Macaca mulatta: one gene and its partners. The protein of the gene in region 3 binds, or shares a complex with, the protein of the main gene of each other region. Links are inferred from orthologs where the notes say so. Each region holds a gene or a part of one and is shown on either strand. Other genes may lie near its edges.

Region 1 (4,219 bases), on a different chromosome or scaffold from region 3:
ATGAAGATGAGAACAGAAGCATTTAGAAGTCCATATTAGACAAGCGTAAAGATACATGAAATTTCATGTAGGCTGCACTGGCAAAGATTATAATATGTTAAGATTTTACGTTAAAGTGAATGCATTCATTTACATTATTTTAATTCCTATAAAGATTTTGTTAGACAACAACCTGTATTATGTATGGAAGTAACCTATTATTGTACTTTCATAGTCTTCAAAGAGATCTACAGTTGATCACAGAAAACTTAAGAATACAGCTTGGGGATAAAGCAGGCAAATCCTCAACCAAAGCAAAGTATCACATTTTCTAGAGAAAATAACTTATAGAAAAATAAGTCTTAATGTTTCGTTCATAGTGTCATTTCAATTCAGCAGAATTACATAAGCTTCAAGTGCAATTAAGAATAACTGGTCTTTTAAGAAACTCACATAATAATGTCACAAATTAATTTAAAACTATTCTAATACACCTAACTATTCATTCAACAAATTCATTATTAGTAATATGAATTCTATGCATTTTGCCCTACAGAACTTGGAAGAGTAAACCATTCACTCGAAAATCTCTATTAGTCTGCTATTAATATAGACTATTTAAATAAATATTTTCAGTAAACACTTTACTAAATTAATACAAAAATCCAAGCTAAAAATAAGTAAGTGTTTAGCTTGGTAAGATGGACCATCCAGAGGCAAGCAAAAAGGTTAAAATTAGTAAATTTTGTGATCTTAAGTAAAAAATTCTTTTTAACATTCAGTTTTATGTTTCCTACTGAGATCTAATAATACAATGATACTTAGGGATGACACAGGATGAAGTTAGGCATGTTACAACATACCTTCTAGAAATCTTTTAAAGTGGTTGCAAAAGAAAATACTGATTTCTCTGGGGGCAATTTTGCAAGTGTGGAACTCTGGCTTTCACTCTTAATACTTCTCAAAATATAGAGTATTATGAAAACAGTTTGCATTTAACTGATGAAACAATCATATTTTTGACACCTGTATAGGAGGTCCCTTCACTGTGTCATGGTAAAGTAACCAAATATTTACTGTCAACATTTTTGACAGGTGACACAAATAAATTGTAATCGCTTCTTTACTTGTAGAGTACTTGAATGTTTAAAATTTTCTAATGAGTTTGAAAAATTCAGTATGCTAAATGTTTCAAAAGAAACGTTTAAATCATTGCTCAGTATTTTTAAAAAATATTCCATCTTCTGTTAATAGGTGAGCATAAACTTTTTTCATCTTGACATTAGAAAATAAACAAACTTAAGTTCCAACGTCGCCATAAAAAGTTCTCTAACTTTTAAACCATTTAAAAGGTCTTGGGTCTTAAGACTGGAATATATAACAAAACACCCCAAGCCTTTAAAAAACGATTTCGGTAAGCACTTGGCAAACAACTGAATTTAAAAGTTGTATCTTTAAGCAGACTCCATTAATAATTGCGTCATTACATAAAACCGTTTAACTTACAGTAATGTTCTTTGTAAGACACAACACACTATGATTTTTTAAAATAGTAACTTTTTAAAAAGCTGATTCTCCATCTACTCAAGGCTTTAAAAATAATTTTCACAAATCAGACAAATGTTCTATTTTCATAAGAATTTACCATTATCTTTGACACAAATGCCTGCCGTGTCCACATGCGCTAGTGCCAGCCTCAAAACAAACTTTTACGGCTAGAAAATGGTCTATGTAAGATAGAAAATATTTCCTTTTAAAAGGCAGGTAAACAAGCGTACTTTTAAATTGTTTCTCATTTAAAACTTGCTTTTAATTTTACACCGTGAAACGAAACAGTGACTTGATCGAAGAAGCCCACTAAATTCAAAACCAATTTTACTATGGCATTTCTGCAAAAGCGATTTATCAGTCAGTTAAACTAGTTAATAGTTAAATAACGACAGTTCTAAACGCAAACAGCATCAACGATGGATAACTCATCCAACTTTACGCTAGAAGTATTTTAAACGAATTCCTTTTACTTTCCTCCCCATTTGAAAGGGTTATAGATGCCCAAAACAGCCCCAAGGAAAAAAGAAATAAACAAAACCAAGTAACTCATAAGAACAAATTACTCCTTCCCCCCGGCCAAGAAAAAGCTAATAAGCGCGCGCTTTTCTATAAATCTCAGGCCTACTGACCAACCAATTCCCATAAAGAGTAAGTTGGAGGAAAAAGGACCCTGAGCGCTAGGCGCCTCCTAAATTCGCAGTGAAGCTTTTCCACATTCATTCTCCCCAAGCCTGCCTCTTTCGGAGCCGGGTTTTCACTTAGACCAACCTCACCCACTCTTGGAGAGGACAGCTGCAAGGTAAACTACTCGGCTACGGGTACCGCCGTCCTCCTCACTCCGAGCGAGGCGGCTGGGCCCGCGCTCCTCCCCGACCTCGGCTTCAGGGACGGCATCCCACACTTCAGCAGGCCTAGCTGCCCCCGGCCCCTGCTAGAAGAAAAGAATGGAGGGATGGGCCGGATGGCTTCCATATTCCCAGTCCCTCCGGCCACCTCTCACCTGTCCAACCAGGGTTTGTAGGGAGCGAAAGATTTCGTAGAGCACCTCTCGGGAGAGGCTAGGGCTGCATCTTCGCTCCAGGCTCCTGTCACCGCTGTTCGGGCGACTAAGCTCCGTGGCAGCAGCCATGATGCCTTTTCAGGCCGCCCCACCACCACCACCACCACCACCACCACCACCACCACCACCACCACCAACACCACCACCAACACCACCACCAACGTTTGCTCACAACCCCGCTCCCTCCCTTCCAGCTTTAGTCGCTTGGCGATGACGTACGACACGGCGTCTCGTTTAGATCAGGCTTTGAGGCCCCACCCTCTCTATGTGACTGACAAGCACGTTACACCAATCAGTTGCAACTGCGACATTACGCCGAGGCTCTGAAGTGGGAAATTGCAGACCAAAGCTAGGCTGGAAGGCTATATTTGAGGTGGTTATTAGCGTTGTGGTCTGTTTAGCGTTATGAAGCCTACCTTGACTCCCAGATGTTCACTGTGAATCTTGGTAAGAGGAGACATAGTTAAATTTTGTAGTTTGAGTCCCCAAATTAAAAGTTGACATTTTAACATGGCGGTGTGGAGTGGTTCTGGAGGAAGCTTGCTGGTCAGGGATGGAGTGGTGCCCGCAAGTGTTTCTAAACACTGGAAAACTCACACGGAATTGTCATGGTTGGATAGAACATTTTCATCTCTTCAAGTTTTAAGTTGTTGTTTTGGAGGCAGAGTCTCACTCTGTCGCCCAGACTGGAGTGCAGTTGCGCCATCTCAGCTCACTGCAACCTCCGCCTCCCAGTTTCAACCTGCCTCAACCTCCTGAGTAACTGAAACTACAGTTGATATTCTCCATTATAACTGTAGAGACTCTTAACCCTAAAATTGTTTCAAAGAAATGAAACACTGTCAATATAATCCAACAGGAATTTAACCTGGATAAATAATATGCAACCACAATCTTTGAAATTAGGACATAAAACCGAATTGAAATTTTACAAAGTATTATTTATCATAATAGCTTTATTATAAAGATGTTCGTGGGGTTTTGTAATCTTTTAGTCAGACTCCAATATTTTTAAAAAGTGTTATCCAATTTTAAAAAGTATTACAAGAATTTTTAGTGTCAAATTTTATTCAAAAACACTTTAAGAAATAAACATCAGCTGAGAGATAAGGAAGGTGGGATTTAAAACTCTTCATTCTGTTAATAGTCTAATGCATTTACAGTAGAGAAAGCAAAGGTGGAAACTTGCACAATGTGTATTCTTTAGTTTTAGGGTAGACTACATTAAAGGGAAGGACTAACGCATCGAGGAACTAGGATAAGGACGATGGAGATAAAAGAACTCCTTTGACCTGTCCCTAGGGAGTCTCTTAATTAGGCTTTCATTTCCAAAGACAAATGGGATCACCAGGCTTGACAGAATCTTGGAAAATCTTTTCTGTTCCCTTGTTGGCAGCAAGATATACAACTGATATTCCAGCCTATGTCTACAGCCAGAAAGATACTTCGCAATGTCCAATCTCAAATTGAGCAACCTTCTTATTCAAGCCACTCATCCCCATATCTAGCCTAAATTCATGATTCTTTGCCATGTTAGCATGTTTTGTTTGCTTCTGGTTCTCTTGTTAATAGAGAATAATTGTAATGGGGTAACTGTAGGTTTTTGTTCTGTACCAAATTAGCAATCAG
Region 2 (4,012 bases), on a different chromosome or scaffold from region 3:
CCTGGCTAATTTTTGTATTTTTAGTAGAGATGGCGTTTCACCATGTTGGCCAGGTTGGTCTTGAACTGCTGACCTTAGGTGATCTGCCCGCCTCAGCCTCCCAAAGTGCTGGGATTACAGGCGTGAGCCACCACGCCCATCCAGGAGGATCTCTCGAGCCTGGAAGTGTGAGACTAGCTGTGGTGATAGTCAGACCTGTCTTTAAAAAAAAAAAATTAGTCTGGGGGTGGTGGCTCATGCCTGTAATCCCAGCACTTTGGGAGGCTGAGGAGGGTGGATCACCTGAGGTCAGGAGTTTGAGAGCAGCCTGGCCAACATGGTGAAACCCTCTCTCTACTAAAAATACAAAAATGAGCTGGGCGTGGTGGTGCATGCCTATAATCCCAGCTACTTGGGAGGCTGATGCAGGAGAATCACTTGAATCAGGGAGGCAGAGACTGCAGTGAGCCGAGATCATGCCACTGCACTCCAGCCTGGGCAACAGAGGGAGACTCTCTCAAAAAAAAAAAAAAGAAAAAAACCACAAAAAACAAAACACCATTTACATGTATTATGTGTAGATAAAAACATTAAATACATAAAAATTTGATAACATGTAGGTAAAGTATTAAAAAATCAGCTCCAGTAGTAAATCTTTATACAGTGAGGAGGGATTGAAGGGGAACAGAAGATCCCCGAAGACCAGTTGGGAGGCTATTTATAGTCCTGGGCAGAGAGATGACAGGGTCTTGGGTAGAGGGTGGTAGAGTTAGAACGAAAGAGAATGTTGGCCTCAAGAGATATTTAGATGGAAAACTGGACTTGGATTGTCACTAGTGTGACTGGGATAAGTCTCAAGCCTTCCCTGCCTCAATCTCTTCATCTGTAAAATGGGCTAGCAATAACTACTGTTATTTGTATACGCAGCACTTAGCACATGGGTTGGGACAAAGATGGCACACACAAAAATCATTGTTACTATTGTAATTAATAGGGAAGCTCATACATACCGGCAGAATGAATATTCTGTCAAACTTGGGGTTGAAATTCGCCACCTTCTGGGGCAGAAAAGTGATGGACAACCACGCCTTTGCGAGAATCGACGCCCACACTGCCCAGGAAGTGGCCTCGCGGGCCGGGGTCGCAGCCTGGACCAGCCCCGCCCCGCCCCGCCCTCATCCCTGCGAGCTCCGCCCCGAGGCCGCGCGCGCGCGCCGCCGCCACCACCGCCGCCGCGCGCGCCCCGACGCGCCCGGCTGCTGACGTGCGGGGCGGAACGGGTCGGGCGGGTTCCACCGATCTGGGTGCTTCCGCGGGCTGCGGGGGTCGCTGGGGTTTCGTGGCTGGGCAGCTCCGCGGGGCTTCGCCCGCTCCCTCACCTCGCTCTACCCTCTCGCGGCGCCCGGCGGGGCCGCGCTGCAGCTGGAGACCCGGAGAAAGGGTGAGTGTTGGCGGGCGCAGGAAGGGACCGCGCGGGCGCGCGCCCTGCTGTCTGGGGCATTGTTTGGGCGGGGGCGGCGCGGGCACGTGCGCGCCCCTCCCCCATCGGCCGGCTGCGCCGCGGCGGGACCCGGTGAGGCCCCGGGCCGGAGGGGAGGGCAGGGAGGATCCCAGGTGCGGGCCGAGGAGCCGCAGAAGCGGGAGCCTGGAATCGGAACGTGAGTTGGGGGCTTCCTCTTCAGCGGGGCGCTCCGCTGAGGGGATGCGGGTCCCCGAGCCTCAGCGGCCGGAGGTTTCGGGATGTTAAGCTCTTGGCCTTGGAGGCAAGATTTGGCCCCAGGACCAGAAAGTCGTGGGTTTACCGAAAGGATCCTGGAATGCCCCTCCAACCTGTCGCCATCCCCACCGGCCCTCCCGGGATGGAGGGGAGGGGTTAGAGAGGCTTTGGGGTTCCAGGGAGGGGGCCGGGGCCAACGCGCCGGAGCTGCGGGCAGTGCGGGGCGGAGTGGAAGCCTCGGAAAGTGAGGACTCCTGCAGGAAAGGCTGGCTTGGAGGGCTGTGGCCAGACTGCAGAAGACAATGAGGTTCTCCCCATCATGAATGTGATTATGTTAAGAAATGGAAAGCAGAGAAAGAGAAATGCCATCAGCGATCTTATAGGCCTGACACATCATTTTTTTAGTTTGATGTTTGCTAGTATTTTCATCTAAGCCTTCAGCAGTTACAGAGTTGACCCACGTTTTCCATTTCTCGCTCACATGTACAAAATGCGCCATAATATCATATAGTATTCAGCAATATCATTTCCCCTTAATGAGTAGAGAGTATTCAGCGTAGAAAAATTTAAAAATACAAGCAAAGCAAGAGAAAAATGCCCGCAGTTTTACGGTCTAGAGATATTACCCTTGGATGTATATTCCTGTTTGTGTATACTCTTTAAAAGATAGGGCAGATGATGCTCTGATTAGGAGTTTAGTTTTTCCGGGAAACCTTTGAAGGTTTTGAGAAGGCGAGTAGCATAATCCGACTGCTATGTAGAGGAAGAGGGCTGGGGAGGAACCTACGAGGTCAGTTACTGTGCTCTTTGCAGTAGCTTAGACTAGGCCCATGGCAGGGAGATGGGGAAGTGTAAACAGATTTTTAAGTGTTTTGAAGGTAGAATGAACAAGACTTGGAAATGAATTGGTGAGGGAATGGTGGGAGTCTTTGCTTTTTTGATTTTTGTTTTGAGCACCTGAGTGAATGGTGGTGCCGTTTACTGAGATGAAGAATGGAAGAGAGAAATTTGAGGTGGGAAAAATATCGAAATCTATTTTGGATGTATTAAATTTTAGATGCTTATTAGTTATGAAGTCGGTGTGTTGAGGCAGTTGGATGTAGAGGGCTGGAACTCAAGGAAGAGAGAGGCTAGAGCTAGAGATAAAAATCGGAGTGGCTGGGCGCAGTGCTCACACATGTAATCCCAGCACTTTGGGAGGCCGAGGCAGGTCGCTTGAGCCCAGAAGTTCTAGACCAGCCTTGGCTACAAGGCAGGACACCGTCTCTTAAAAAAAAAAAAAAAAAAAAAATTGGAGTGATCAGTACATAGATGACATTCAAAGGTATGGTGCTGTGTGAGATCACTGAGGGGAAGCGTGAAGAAGTGAAAGGGGCTCAGACACTCAAATACCTGTAGGTCTGGCAGAGGAAGAAGGTTGAGGAAAGGACACAGGAAACAGCAAGTGAGGTAGGAGAAAAAGCTGGTATCATGGCAGCCAAAAGAGATATTTCTGGAAGATGTTGAATTGGTCCTTTTATCAGGGCTTCTGAGATGTTCATTAAAGTTGTCAATTGGATTTGGCAACACGGAGGTCATTGGTTTTGGTCATTGGTCTTCCTGTCCATAGTTCTGGAAGTGGAAGGTGGGAACCAGACTAGAATAGTTTAATGGAATGTGAGGAAATGAAACTAATGAGTGCAAATTAGAAAAAAAGTGCCCCTATTTCCATCTGCGCCAAAACTAAACTGGATCGATGAAAAATGATGTCTTGTGTTTTTTTCATTTATTGATTACTAGTATGTTTGAACATTTTTTTCACATTTATTGGCTATTTGCGAATTTCTTTTCTTGTTCTCTGGCATCTTTTGTTATTTCCTAATTGATTGTCAAAGGTTCTTTAGATATTAAAAATAGGTAGCTTGACATACAGCATTCAGAGCTCTCCCCACATGTTTTTCAGTTTCCAATGCTTCATGTTCATTCAGCGGATGCATGATAGTTTGCGGTGGGTTATTTTTTATTATAAAATCCATAGGAAGAGGAGAACTAACATTACGTTGTAGATCTCTGAGTGCAGCCCACGTATGATGTACATTGCTCCGTATTTCCTTAGGATAGATTCTCAGAAATAGTTGGTCCTGTCCTCTTCTCATCAACCATGGATTTTTACTTGAATGTTCGTTGCCACGTTCTTGGATTGTTCCACATCTCCCTGCCTTTGGTCCTGCTCTGCTTTCAGTCTGTTTTCTATCATGATAGAAAGTAGATGGTGGGAGTTGATGCAGTTTTCTCACAGAAAACAAGACTTATGAAGCAGATTTTTTCTTTTTCTTC
Region 3 (4,207 bases):
TTTTTTAAACTAAGTTATTTAATAGATTTACTGGTGATCAAATTGGTTCAACTTTAACTTGCATTTTACAGAACTATCTCAGAATGCTTAATTTGTTCAGACAAGATAAAGCAAGGTGGGAAATGAACAAGTGAAATGTCCTAAAGCAAAGTCCAGTTCATTAAACTTACCACTAAAAACTCAAACTTCAACATGTGAGAATCATACCACTTTAAAATGTACATTATTTATTCCACTTGGATATATTCTACATTCCTAATCAATGCTGACAGAAAAGTATAAAAATGTCCTATCTATTATGATTAGTGTACAGGAACACACTTCAAACACCTAAAACATATAAACCTTAAGAATTTCTTTAAAAATTTAACCTCTCAAAACAAAACTTCTTTGGAATAATTAAGCAATATGAGATTATAAATGTATAAAGTCTACAACCCCAATTAGGGAGAATTCTTGGGCGAAAATGTAGATTCTTATCCACCTAACAATAGCATAATACAAAAAAAAGAGGTAAAATTTTAAGACTATAACACGTCAATACATGATTTTCAAAAACAAATCATCTTCATTACACAATGGAAATGCTTTTTCACTATAGCTTTCTGACTCACACATTAAACTGAATTTAGCATATTCCAAAGTTGAATTATTTAGCATACTGCTTGCTACAGCTGCACTTCTATTCCATCATGTCAATCAGAAATCTAAATATATCCTAGAAAAGAATTAACTCTCCCCAAGAAGACAGACTGTAATGTGTTATTAGGTTTTTGGAACGATCCCCACTTCTGTAGTGTAAACAAATATTTAGGCAGACCCTGTTGAAATCTTTTGCAATTTTCATTAGAAAGGCAATGTTGATAAAAAGTTCTTTTTCCTTTTTATGAGTTGTAAAAAGAAATTACAGCTATCTGTGCTGGATAATCTTGTGAAAGACTTATGACAGCAATCACACATACAATGTAAAAATAAATACACAAGAGAAAAAACAGACAACTTGGCTTTCATTTTACTTGCTAGAGTATTCAGCACATCAAGTAGAAAAAAAAAAAAAAAACTAGTACTAGTTTTAAGAATCAAATATGCTTTTTCCTAGGGATTTTTCTCCTTATGTACTGAAATGGCAGGATATATTTTAAAACTACTTTCAAGACGTCATAAAGGATTAAAAATCAATCATTTAATCCTTTTGTCAATACTGACAGTAAAATATTGGATATGGTCAACATAAGCAGATGTGTTCTCTACTTCAGTACAACAGGCAAGTCACATTTTAAAAAGTTAAAGTATAAAAATTAAGTGACAGACAACCACCTGCCTACCAAAATGATTAAAATTAACCATTTTTTCCCTGGTTTCACAAGCAATCAATACTTTTAATTAGATTATTACGAAAGGCAAGTTCTCACTTCAAATTGAGAACAACTCTTTCACAAGAGTACATGTAAAAATATCGCAAAAGGTACATTCCCGAAACATTATGACTAGTAAATATGTTTCTCCTCTCTGAAACCATTAGAATACAGTCCCCCAAATCCCTATTACGGGACCACAACCTTTTCAGGATAAAAGAAACTGTTGAAGCTTTCAGAAGTGCTGTTCAATAAAAGCCTAAGTGTATGCATCCAAATAAGAATGACAGCAGGAAAGGACGGGGAAATTTTCCGTTTAAAAAAAAAAAACTTGCATAAACTTTCAATCAAAGATTTTAAAACTTATCTCCACAGAATAGAACAAAGCAAACGACATAAAGGCAAACAAAAAGAAAAAAACAAAAATTTAAAGTTCACCCTTTTCTTACAGAATGGACCAGGAGTGCTTTCGTAACTCATTCATGAACGTACCATCAAACCATTTTTAGAGCAGAAAACATACCTCCTTTTATTCAACAACGATAAACTTGACAACGTTGAACACATTGTATATTAAGAATTTTTTAACTCATGTGTTCAGAAAATAAATCTTTTCCTCTACATTGGTGAAAGGTCAGGTGGGGAAGGGGCGCTCTGTCTCCATCCATACTTGAAGTTCCTCTGTCTGAATTTTTAATTTTCCAAGGGAGAACTTCTGCGTTCCTTAATTATTATCTAAGTTCAACTTCAGGCAAGCAATTCCTGTTGCTTCGGCTTACCTGGCTGTAAAGTGAGATCACTCTTTATGTTTTGGGGACGTTGACCTAAATGTTTGCACTCCTTACGTGTATTCGCTAGATGAAAAGTACTGCAAGAATGCTACAAAGGGATTGTTTTTAAAGCACGGGCTACCTACATGCCAGTCTGGCTTTTTCATTAAGTTACTTACCAGTGAAGAGGAATGAAGGCTTTGACATGAAAGCGTCACGCGATTAGCAGACTGCTCCCCTAGACCCTCATTCAAACCAATTTCCACACATGACTTACCTTGTATGACATGTTCTGGTGAGATGGTCTTCTTTTCCGATTTGTTACAAATCTCATTGGCTTCAGAAGATATAAGGTGAATGAATTCAGTGCAGCAGTTCACCACCAGCTCTCGAGCATCGTTGGCCACCCGGACATTAGGAAGAGTCTCTTTGATCATTTTATTGATAGCAGCTCTGGGGATAGTGAGATCATCATCGTTGCCAGACGAGGAAGCCATAGTACCTTCCTGTTTCTCGCGCCCCGGCTTTTAAAAACTCCCCGGCTCTGGTCCACTACTCCACGGAGATCTCTCAAAAAGCCGCCCTCGGAGAGTGATCCCGGGGGGTGCTTCGCGAAGAGGGTGCAGAAAATGAACGGAGGAGGAGCTGGCTTGAGGGCTGGGAACGCTCGCGTGTGTGAGAGATTTAGGATGAGTTTGGGAAGAAAGTGGGGGCCTGAGGATTCTAGAGAGAGCACAGCCCAGGCTGAGGGGAAAGCGCGGTGGTCCGGAAATTTGAGCGGCTGGGGAACCACCTTCGGGTCTCCTCAGAGGGGCGGGCACTGTCGCCTAACTGGTCCCCAACGGCGTCGAAGAGGCAAGATCCAGGGGCACTGGCCTCGCCGCGGTACCGGGCGGGTACCCAGCGGGCTCGGCTCTATAGAGCCCGAGGCCCCGCTGCCGCTGCCGCCGCCGCCAGCAGCCGTTGCCGCCGCCTCGGCCAAACCATCCTTCAGACACCCGCGCCGCCGCCTCACAACATGTCCGCCGCTGCCGCTGCTGGAACGGCGACGGCCGCCTGGGAACTAATATGGACAGAGCCAGGCACAGTGGGAGTCGCAGTGGCTGCCACCGTGGCCGCGTAACCCGAACGCAGATCCTGGAAGCCGAAGCGGCGGCAACGGTGGTCCCTCCAGAGGCCAGGGAAGATTTGCAGGAAGCCGCTCCCGACACCCTTTGCGCCGCCGGAAGCTTCGTTCCTCAGATTTCCCCCTCCCTCCCGGACCGACTTCCGGATGTGGCTGCCGCCCTTCCCCCACCCACGCTGACGGGAGCCGCCCGTTCCCGCTGCCAGCAGCTTCCGCCTGCTGCGGTCCTGGCAAGCACCTCGGGATCCCATTCCTTCACAGGGGCCCTAGCCGGGCAAGCGCGCGCGTCACTGTACCGGAGAGCTCCAAGCACGCGCTTGGTCAGGGGCCCGGACGCTAGATCTGGGAAGGGGTGGTGGCTGGCTAGATGGGCGAGGAAGGATCGTCTCTACCCTCTCTCCAGCAGCTGAGGCCTCCGAACCCATCCCTAGCCGGATTTGGGGACAGAGGAGCGCTGGTATTGATAAAAGAACTCTCTTTGCTATTCTTTTAGGAGCCCAAATGAGGATTGAAAGTGAGAAGAATGGGGCCTGGGCTTGGGAGTGGGAGGTGGGGAAAGCACAGAATCCCGTGTGCCTGTTTCTGCGTCGTCTGGAGAGAAAGCTTTTGAAGATGTCTAATAGACCTTATTCGGGTAAAAGCTCTCTAAAGTCCTCCACCTTTTTTTTTTTTTTTTTTACTGCATGGAAAATGAAACAGAGAAGTTACTTGCCTAGAGGCGACTAAGTCGCCTAATAGATAAGGAGGAAAGTAGAAGTCAGTTCCAACGTAGTGGAAATGCATGGCGTACAATGAGCCGTATTAGAAGGTTCCCATTTAGACAGTTTTCATGGTGTATTCCATGTTGGCTTCTACAGGGGAAAAAAATGTTAGAGCATCTTAACTGTTTTTGCTTCTTTCCATAGTGACTAGTAATATCAACAGGTGTCAAGATCTAAACAGAAATTGCATTTTAA

What was found. Proteins that work in one complex are often made in the same cells at the same time.
Region 1: DR1 (region 3) and MBIP share a complex: the UniProt entries of both Homo sapiens proteins name them as parts of the ADA2A-containing complex. The link is inferred for Macaca mulatta from reciprocal best matches to the Homo sapiens genes DR1 and MBIP.
Region 2: DR1 (region 3) and YEATS2 share a complex: the UniProt entries of both Homo sapiens proteins name them as parts of the ADA2A-containing complex. The link is inferred for Macaca mulatta from reciprocal best matches to the Homo sapiens genes DR1 and YEATS2.

Annotation. Positions count from the first base shown.
Region 1 is NC_133412.1:109,439,163-109,443,381, forward strand, and holds the start of MBIP (MAP3K12-binding inhibitory protein 1), read right to left. Parts: upstream 2,803-4,219; 5' UTR 2,660-2,802; coding exon 2,531-2,659; intron 1-2,530. UniProt on the Homo sapiens protein: Inhibits the MAP3K12 activity to induce the activation of the JNK/SAPK pathway. Component of the ATAC complex, a complex with histone acetyltransferase activity on histones H3 and H4.
Region 2 is NC_133407.1:95,835,391-95,839,402, forward strand, and holds the start of YEATS2 (YEATS domain-containing protein 2), read left to right. Parts: upstream 1-1,210; 5' UTR 1,211-1,420; intron 1,421-1,504; exon of another isoform or gene 1,505-1,637; intron 1,638-4,012. UniProt on the Homo sapiens protein: Chromatin reader component of the ATAC complex, a complex with histone acetyltransferase activity on histones H3 and H4. YEATS2 specifically recognizes and binds histone H3 crotonylated at 'Lys-27' (H3K27cr).
Region 3 is NC_133406.1:146,925,387-146,929,593, forward strand, and holds the start of DR1 (protein Dr1), read right to left. Parts: upstream 2,805-4,207; 5' UTR 2,623-2,804; coding exon 2,403-2,622; intron 1-2,402. UniProt on the Homo sapiens protein: The association of the DR1/DRAP1 heterodimer with TBP results in a functional repression of both activated and basal transcription of class II genes.